Oryctolagus cuniculus: one gene and its partner. The protein of the gene in region 2 interacts with the protein of the main gene of each other region in a pairwise test. Links are inferred from orthologs where the notes say so. Each region holds a gene or a part of one and is shown on either strand. Other genes may lie near its edges.

Evidence for each region. The genes of interacting proteins can lie anywhere in the genome.
Region 1: the proteins of CDCA7L (region 2) and CTNNBL1 interact in binary tests that used the Homo sapiens proteins (3 or more experiments, as listed by UniProt). The link is inferred for Oryctolagus cuniculus from reciprocal best matches to the Homo sapiens genes CDCA7L and CTNNBL1.

The regions. Positions count from the first base shown.
Region 1 is NC_091442.1:20,960,326-20,965,137, forward strand, and holds the start of CTNNBL1 (beta-catenin-like protein 1), read right to left. Parts: upstream 3,232-4,812; 5' UTR 3,004-3,231; coding exon 2,974-3,003; intron 1-2,973. UniProt on the Homo sapiens protein: Component of the PRP19-CDC5L complex that forms an integral part of the spliceosome and is required for activating pre-mRNA splicing.
Region 2 is NC_091447.1:13,942,660-13,947,732, forward strand, and holds the start of CDCA7L (cell division cycle-associated 7-like protein), read right to left. Parts: upstream 3,477-5,073; 5' UTR 3,086-3,476; coding exon 3,057-3,085; intron 1,034-3,056; exon of another isoform or gene 1,019-1,033; coding exon of another isoform or gene 1,001-1,018; intron 3-1,000; coding exon 1-2. UniProt on the Homo sapiens protein: Plays a role in transcriptional regulation as a repressor that inhibits monoamine oxidase A (MAOA) activity and gene expression by binding to the promoter.

The DNA.
Region 1 (4,812 bases), on a different chromosome or scaffold from region 2:
GCGCCGGCACACCGGGTTCTAGTCCTGGTTGGAGCACCGGATTCTGTCCAGCTCTCTGCTGTGGCCTGGGCGTGCAGTGGAGGATGGCCCAAGTCCTTGGGCCCTGCACCCGCATGGGAGACCAAGAGAAGCACCTGGCTCCTGGCTTCGGATAAGCATGGTGCGCCGGCCGCAGGGCACTGGCTGCAGCGGCCACTGGTGGGTGAACCAACGGAAAAAGGAAAACCTTCCTCTCTGTCTCTCTTTCTCACTGTACACTCTGCCTGTCCAAAAAAAAAAAAAAAAAAAAAAAAAAAAAAGCCCAGCCTGCTGTGGTCTGGGCCCTCTGCCACTTGTTCAGTCTGTGTGTACACTGGCAGTTGGTTGACCTCTGCGGATTTATTTTCTTTGAATAAATTCGGTCTAGTTGCGAGTTGGTACTCTGTCTCCTCTGTTCTGTACCCCTTTTTCTTACACGTGATGCCTTGTGTGAGGAGGCACCCATCTGCACCCTGTTTTCTTTTAATAACTTTTTTCAATTTTTGTTTTCTATTTATGTATTTGACAGGTAGAGTTATAGACAGTGAGAGAGAGAGAGAGACAGAGAGAAAGGTCTTCCTTCTGTTGGTTCACTCCCCAAATGGCCGCTACAGCCAGCGCTGCGCTGATCTGAAGCCAGGAGCCAGGTGCTTCTTCCCGGTCTCCCATGCAGGTGCAGGGGCCCAAGCACTTGGGCCATCCTCCACGGCCCTCCGGGGCCACAGCAGAAAGCTGGACTGGAAGAGGAGCAACCAGGACTAGAACCCGGGCCCCAACCGGGACAAGAACCCGGCGCCCATATGGGATGCCGGCACCGCAGGTGGAGGATTAACCAAGTGAGCCACGGGGCTGGCCCCACACCCTGTCTTCTTACACCAGCGCTCCCAAACAGGCACACCTCCTGCTGGAACCCTGAATGAACACTCATTCAACAACCCTCCTATTTCCTTCCTTCCTTCCTTCACAGTCTACTCAATTGTCTAAAAGAACTCTGAGTTACGCATACCCCCGCGTGCTCCACAAGTTCTTTCCCCAGACGTCTGGAACCCCCAGGGTGGCGTTTCCGTATATTGGCTAAGGCAGTGGCATGAAAATAATTAGCAATTTATTGAACATTTACACTTTGTCAAGCATTGGTCTACATTTCTCAACAGCAGCCCTATGAAAGGTACCGTCATCGGCCCCACTCACAGATGAGGAAAACAAGGAATAGAAAGGTTAAACAGTCTCTTCAAGGTTACAGCAGCCAGTTAGTGGCCAAATATTCCACACAACCTGGGGCTACAGACACATGGCTCTTAATCACTTATTCTTGACTGCAGAGCTGCCTACTGAAAATATGGCCAACAGTATATGGAACTTACTTTTTTAAATATTTATCTATTTATTTGAAAGTCAGAGTCACAGAAAGGCAAAGGCAGAGGGAGAGGGAAGGAAGGAGGGAGTGAGAGAGAAAGGTGTCTTCCATCCCTTGGTCCATTCCCCAAATGGCCCAACGGCCACGGTTGGCCAGGCCAAAGGCAGGAGGCAGGAGCTTCATCTGGGTCTCCCTGGGTCTCCCATGTGGGTATAGGCAGCTGGATAAGAAGTGGAGCAGCCAGGTCTCAAACTGGCGCCCTTATGGGATGCTGGACCTGCAGGCAGCAGCTTAACCTGCTACACCACAGCGCCGGCCCCGTGAAGTGGAACAACTGGGACTTGAACTGGTGCCCATAAGGGATGCCACAGCACTGCAGGCGGCAGCTTTACGCACTCTGCCAGAGCCAGCCCCTTAGAATTTTCTAGTGGCCACATTGAAAAGTCAGGTTAAAACACTGCCTGCCATGATGGCATCCCATACCACAGCACTCATTCCACTTCTGATCCAGCTCCCGGCTCATGCGCCTGGGAAGGCAGCAGAAGATGCCCAAGTACCTGGGTCCCTGCCGCCCCTGTAGCAGGATGGAGTTCCTGGCTTCTGGCTTCAGCCTGGCCCAGATGTAGCTTGTTGCTGCCATTTGGGGAGTGAACCAGCAGACAGAGATCTCTATCTCCCTCTCCCTCTCCCATTTTCATTCTGTTGCTCAGTCTTTCAAGTAAAAAATAAATACATCTTTTAGAAAGTCAACAGAAACAAGTAAAATTGGTTTTAAATGTATTTTATTTCACCCATTATCCAAAATAGGATCACTTAATCAATATGATCGATAATCAGTGTGGTTGCTAGACTCAGCGTGATCACAAAATCCTATAAAAACACTCCTTTTTTCTCGCTGAGTCTTCGGAACCCAGTGTGATCTCATACTCACAGTACCCCTCAGCTCTGACTGGCCACACGTCAGGGGTCGGGAGGGCGTGCGGCTACCGACCCCGGACGGGCAGGGCGGTTCTGCGGCCTCCCACGCGGAGCCTCTCAGGCAATCAGAGAAGCGATGAATCCCGAGGTTGAAGTCAGGATACCTGCGCTCCGACCCCGGCTCTCACCTGCTCAGGGACCTCGGCCCGGCCTCCCGTTTTCCCACAAGTACCCCAACAAGGGAGCCTTCCTGCTTCCCAGGGGCCCAGCCCAAGCTGGAATTACGAGCATCTCCCAGCAAGGGCGGCCAACTCGGGCACAGCTTTGCACGCTCAGCAGCTGACACAGACCTCAAACAACTCTACTAAGTAGCTGAAACCGTCTCCACTATGCAGATAAGAAAACTGAGGCTAGCGGCACAAACTCAACGACTCGGCGGTGGCGGCCGCTGGGAGAGGACGATGGGAACCAGACCTCTGGATGGGGTGCGAGTAGGCAAAGGGGCTCAGGCCCGGAGCAGGCATAGGAAGGGACTAGCGAAGTTTGCAGGAGTGAAGTGAGATGAGGTCAGAAGCGAGGGGGCCCGGAAGGAGATGAGACGAGGTGAGACCAAGGCACTCTGGCCCTGCGATCTCCGACCCGGTGAGGAGCAGTCTCCCGGTCTCCCCAGTCCCTCATACCTGGTAGCTCAGAAGTTCGCCCACGTCCATAGTTCCCCGTCCAGGCAACAGCCGATCCGCTCGTTCCCTCCACTCAAACCCACACCGCGGGCCGCTCGGCAGCGCTTCCAGCCACACTGCCGAAAAGCGCCCTGTGCCAGGCCCCGCAGAGCCAATAGGGTAAAAGTGCGTGCGGCAGGCGAGCAGCCACACTGCGGAAAAAGGCAGCGCTACCGTAAAGCGCGCCGCAGTGGTGACCGTACGGCTTCCGCCTGGAGCCTGAAAGGGGCGGGGAAGGGGGCGGAGACTTGGAGGAGGGAGGCGTGGGGAGAGAAGGGGCGGCGGGAGCCGGGATTTAATGCGCTCCCTCTCTGTGTAGGGCGGGGTGGTGTGGCCTCACGTGTGCTCTCACAAGCCCTGCGGTGGTCCAGGCGATTTCATCCAGGTAAGGAAACTGAGGCTCAGAACGGCATAGGCCAGCACCATGTTCCACGCAGCCACAGAGTAGCTATCGCGCGCTTGAAATCCAGCCAGAATGCACACGGGGTTTCCAAGACTTAGACTGATGACACGTCGAAATGTTCGGGCCAAATAAAATAGATGAGAAAATTAATCTCTCTCGTATCTTTTGACTCCTTCAACGTGGCTGCAAGATTTTTACATCTGTGGGTCTCATGTGTATTTCCGATGGGCAGGGCTAGCTCCAAAGGTGAGGGGCCAGGGCCTACAGCCAGGACTGCCACCGCACCTGGGGGTGGTCGTGGATTCCTCCCAAGCTTCTGATCATCCAGGCAAGGCCGCTGGGAGCTGATCCAAGTGGTGCAGACGGGTTTTCTGGAGGAGAAACTGCCCGTCACTGGAAGACAATCAAAGAGTGCATCTCATCTTCTGAGACTCTGTCTTCCAGACTCCACCCAGGGAATTAAACCTCCCCATAAGCCCCTGCCCTTCACATTCATATCTATAATCCCATCCCACTGTCTCAAGCTGCACAGAAATTCATTTCATTCTTCAAATCCTCTCTTCTGCCTGGCTGGTAGCGCCACGCCTCATCCAACTCACTGGTCCATCTGATACCAAGTGTCGCCTTCTGAGAGTGGGCTTCCTCAACTCACCACACTCCAAGTGGCAGCGGCTCCCCGGTCCCTATCCTCCCTGGGGCCTGTTCCACGGTCTGTGTCTCAGTCTGTAATTTTGTACTCAACGTTTGGCTGCTTGGTTCTTGTCCGTCAGCCTCTGTGTCCTGGAGCGAAGGCTGTTTGAGAGAAGGATCGTGGGGGTTGTGTGTCTCCAAAGCCCAGGCCAGGGCCTTGTGCGCCTTGGGAGACACTGGATTGTGTGCTCACAGGCATGGGAAGGCAGTTCTGTGATTGGTTTGTTTTTTAAGGCTCGTCTGTACACTCTGCTTTGAACCGAGTTTGCTTCGGGTGACCTTTCTCCTCACTGAGGCAGAACAGACCTGGACACGAGCAGCCCTGTGTTCTAATGTATGATATGCAGGGCCAGCTGGTGTAAGAAGGCTCACACAATACGGCTCTATTTTCAGGACGTTTGGGAGTGTTTCCACACTGTGAACCAGTGACTGCTACACATCGGGGTGGTCACGGTTTGCTGTTGTTTTTACAAAGTCTGTTGTTAAACATCTCCCAGCACCCCCCTAACTGGAGCTAGCCCGAGTTCTACCACGACAGCTAGTGTATGCCCTTGGGCAAGTTTCTCTGTCTCTCTAAATTGCAGCTTCTCACCTGGAAAGTGAATCATTCATTCATTCCCTAAGTATTTTTTTTTTTATTTGACAGATAGAGTTAGTGAGAGAGTCAGAGAGAAAGGGCTTCCTTCCGTTGGTTCACCCCCCAAATG
Region 2 (5,073 bases):
ATCTGTTTTGGGGTCAGAAGAGGAAAACCGGGCACTGTTACAATCGCGTCAGGACTGGGACTGTCCAACTCCTGACTTTCCCCCGTGGGCCATGGTTACCCAGAAGGCCCTGGGCACCCTGAGCCATGATTACCCAGAAGGCCCTGGGCACCCTGAGCAGGTGCTGCAGCCAAGACCTTACAGCTGGGGGGGGGGGGGGGGACGGTGGAGGGAAGGGAGGGAAGAGATGAGAGTGGCAAATTCCAGAGGCATCTGAGAAGGCAGCAGAGGACCTCACGTGCCTGGGCCCCTGCCACCCATGTGGGAGGCCTGTAGAGTTCCAGGTTCCTGGTTTCAGCCTGGCCCAGCCCCATGCGTTGTGGCCATTTGGGGAGTGAACGAATGGACAGAAGATCTCTCTGTGTCCCCCTCTCTCTCTGTTACTCTGCCTTTCAAAATAAATAAAATAGGGGCCGGTGCTCTGGTGTAGTGGGTAAAGCCACCGCCTGCAGTGTTGGCATCCCATATGGGCGCCGGTTCAAGTCCTGGCTGCTCCACTTCCAGTCCAGCTCTCTGCTGTGGCCTGAGAAAGCAGCAGAAGACGGCCCAAGTCCTCGGGCCCCTGCACCCACGTGGGAGACCTGGAAGAAGCACCTGGCTCCTGGCTTCGGATCGGTGCAGCTATAGCCATTGCGGCCAATTGGGGACTGAACCAGCAGATGGAAGACCTCTCTCTCGGCCTCGCCTTCTCTCTGTAACTCTTGACTTTCAAATAAATAAATCAAATAAATCTTTAGAAAAATATTAGGGACACTCCCTACTTTCCAGAGACTGCCAAGGCCAGGCTTAGGGAGAAGCCATCTTTCATCTCTGAACCAAAATGAGAAAACAGGCATGGATCTCTAAAAACCACCTGTCTTTCATTCTTTACTGGTGGGTTTGTCTTTAAATGCTACACATGTAAAAGATTCCACAGAACATCAGCAAAGCCTTTGCTTAAATAATTTCCACCTATACTTACCATTCTGTTCTCTGTCATGTGCTGAAAGTCCACACAATAGAATAAGTGGCTTTTCCATCTTTCCCATGTTCCAAATCAATGGCAGTAGTCGTGGGATCAATTCCAAGAGAATGCAAACGCCATGAGTGGCAAGTATCCCCAGAGGATGTCGTGAGCACACCTGGCCTCACAGACGCGAATCTGCCAGGGGTTCCTCCCTGTGGGCTCACTGCCTGTCCCCTCCCACGTCAGTGCCTGAAAGCTCAGACACACAGCACGAGGAGGAGCTTCTCCCCGGAATCGCCACTCCCCACCACACGTCCAAGCATTGGGTTGACCTGTGTCTATAGCTCTGCTAAGTGAAACTTGGCTGTTTCTCACCTCAAAAAACCAGCAACGTACCAGGGACCAACCTAACCCGTGGATTCCCACACACTGCTCAGAATACAAGCTGAGGCTCTCAAATCCGAAACTCCAAGATCACATGGAAAATCCCACCCCAGACGCACGCCACAGCCAGAGGGCAAGCACGCTCAAAGTATATACTCAAATCATCTCCGGGCTATGTGAATAAGCGTGAATGCATTTGTGTTCAGGCTCATGTCTCACGGTTGAGATATCTAACTGCATCTGTGCCACCTGAAAAAACTTCAAGTCCAAAGCACTTCTGTTCCCAAGCATCACAGCCCAGGGACCCTCTCCCTCCACCTGCAATCCACAAACACCACTCGGCCTAAAATTCTTTGCCATACATCTCCCAAGAGTGACAGATCCAAAAATCCATAACTTTTCCTCAAACAGTTCACATGAACAAAATGCTATGACTCTAACATCATCATTTATCCTTTATTTTTTTTTAAAAAAAGATATTTATTTATTTGAAGTCAGAGTTATGCAGAGAAAGGAGAGGCAGAGAGAGAGAGAGAGAGAGAGAGAGAGAGAGAGAGAGGGCTTCCATCAACTAACCCATTCCCCAATTGGTTCCATCTGCTGGTTCACTCCCCAATTGGCCACGACAGCTGGAGCTGTGCTGATCCAGAGCCAGGAGCTTCTTCCGGGTCTCCCATGTAGGTGCCAACTTCCACTGCTTTCCCAGGCCATAGCAGAGAGTTGGATCCAAAGTGGAGCAGCTGGGACTCGAACCGGCACCCATATCGGATGACACCACTGCAGGTGGCGGCTTTACCTGCTGCGCCACAGCACTGGCCTCTCATCATTTATTCTGAGACATCTGGACCATCCACAAGATGTCTTTTGTCACCCTTGGGGGTGGAGGCCAAGGGGATTCACTTAGCAAGGTCCACACATGTCTGTGTGGCCTGACGCTGGGCTGTGCTGCTTTCCACTACCTCTGAGCTCTCTGCTCCCTTCTACCCGCACTCAGGGGAGGCATGCAGCAGCCCTTCCACGCCAGGTGACGTGTACTTCCCAGCGTGCCACAAGAGGAGGGGAAAAACCACATGCAAATCTGGTTTGTAAAATTTCACCCTAAAAGTTTCCCAACAAAACAGGCAGAAGAGAAAGGAACGCGCACACGTGGACAGCTCAGCAACTCTGCCTGGGGGTGATCTCAACTCCTCTGTGTTCCTAACCCAACTCTCCTTCCAGCGCACTGCAAAGCAGCCCCGGACAGCGTGGCAGCTCGGCCTGCGGCGCCATCAAGCGGGCAGGCCATCGCTGTGCACGGTTCCTCGCCTTTCTTTAACCCTACAGCTCATTTGCATTCCGACCCAATCAGGCTCACACATGGGTCACACCTCCTCGGCCCTTTCTTTTTTTTTCTTGCAACTTATTTCTTTAAGAAATGCAGTCATGTGATCCCGTAGCTTGCCACAGTCCGACATTTGGAGAGGCGGAGCACTCATCTGCTGGTTGACTGCCCCCATGCCTGCAGTGCCCAGGGCTGGGCTGGGCCACAGCTGGGGACTCATTCCAGGTCCCCATGTGGGTGGCAAGGACCCAGCCACCTGAGTCGGCCCCACCACTTTCTGAAGCCTGCATTAGCAGGCAACAGGAGTGAGGAGCAGGCACTCTGCCGTGGGCCGTGGGCAGTCTAAGCACGGGGATACACACTCACCCCAGGCTTCTCTCCAGCTGCAGCCCCATGGGGGCGGTCAGCACCACTTCGGGTTTCCTGTAACTTGTAGCTGACTTCCGAGGCTTGCTGAGACTTCGGCTCGCTTGTTTACGACAGACTGCACTTCCTTCGGAAAGCACATGAACGTCTGGCTCGCTTGCGCGCTCGCTCTCTGTGTGCTGCAGCCTGAGCAACAGGGTGGCACCTGCCAGGCTTCTGCATGGCAAAGATACCCTTTGTCCTCGGAGGTCAACAGGCAGGGTGACAGCCGGATTCTGTGACGGCCCGACAGGCTCAGCATCCACGGGCCGCTCTTGCTTCTGCCGCTACCTGCTCTGGAGATGGCGGGGCAGGGACGCTCCCAGGCCAGCGCCCCTTCACAGAGGGGCCGGCATCCCCCGTAACACGAGCACCGAGCACTCACACCCCTCCTCTTCTCTCCCACCGTGTGCATTTAGGGTTTTTATTTTTAAAGATCTATTTGTTTGAAAGAGTGATGGAGAAGGAGGGAGAAACAGAGAAAGACATCTTTCCTCTGCAGGTTCACTCCCCACAGTTAGCTGCAATGGTTAGAGCTTGGCCAGGCGGCAGCCAGGAGCTAGGAACTCCACCGGGGTCTCTCGGCAGGTGGCAAGGGCTCAAGTACTTGGGCCCCCTTCCACTGCCTTCCAGTGCGGGGTTGGAAGCTAAGCATCTGGGACTCACACTGGCACTGCGACGTGGCATGCCGGTATCACCAGCAGCGTCTCAACCCGCCCGCCGCAACACAACACAGACCCCAGACTCTATGTGCTGCCATCCACGCTGTCTTCATTTCATTCTGACGCTCCGACTGTCCCAAAGCTCCAACTGTCCTGGGAGCTCCTTCAAGCCAGCGCCAGTGTCCTCCTGACGCGACGTCGTCATCTGAGTGCCTCACACCAAGCTAACCTTGCCCACGTCCTGCCCCAGACCTCAAGTCAGCCGCGTCTCCAAAGAGCACCTTTCACTGGGGAATGGCTCTGAGACATCAAGACCAGAGCACTCTTCGCGACCTTTGCTGAAGAGCCATCACTCCCCGGACTTGCGCTGTGGTGCGGCGGGTTAAGCTGCCGGCTGTGACTCCCATGTGGGCTCTGGTTCAAGTCCCTGCTACTGTTCCTGGAAACACAGCAGTTGATAGCCCAAGTGCTTGAGTCCGTCACCCACTTTGGAGACCCGGATGAAGCTCCTGGCTCTGGCCTGGCCCAGCCCCGCCTGGCTGTTGTAGCCATCTGAGGAATGAAGCAGCAGATGGAGGATTCTTTTTTTCTCTCTCTTCCCCTGCAACTCTTTCAAATAAATCAATCTCCAATAAATAAACCCATAGATCAGTCAATCAATCCTACTGTCATTGCTCTGGGCTCTTTGGCGAAAGCCAAGACGTCTCCCATCTCTGGCATCGCAAGTTCAGAGGCATGCCCTGAATGAGAGTCGGATGTGGCAGGGTTCCTTCCCACTCCCCACAACCCCATGCTGGCGTCTTCCTTCCCCGATGACGGAAGCCCCCAGTCACCTATATTCCCAGCGCCTTGATCTGTGAGGCACAAGGCACGGTGCCAAGTCACACCACGGACAGACCGCCACCAACAATCAATCACTTTCACGTTTTCTTCACAGCCCTGTCTCCCCTGGGACACCCAGACAGTCACACCTGGGGAGGCAAAGGTGCTGCCATCGGGCGGAAAGTGGACAGAGAGGCCTGCAGGGGGTGACGTTTGCTAACGACTTGTACTGCTCTGCCAGGATGCTCTTAGGTGGAACTGAAGCTTCCTATCAGAGTGCGTGGGGTGAGTGACACAGCGGCCCACTCGGATGCCACTGCCTGGACTCAGGCCGGCAGGCTGTCCCCACCTTGCTGGTGCACAATTAGGACAAATATCAAGGCAGCAAAAATGGCGGCCACAGCTACTCTGACAACAAATCTGCCCTCCTGGACCGAGAGGGCTCAGGGGCCCCCCGTCCACACTCTGACAGCTCCCCTGGCAGGTGCGGAGTG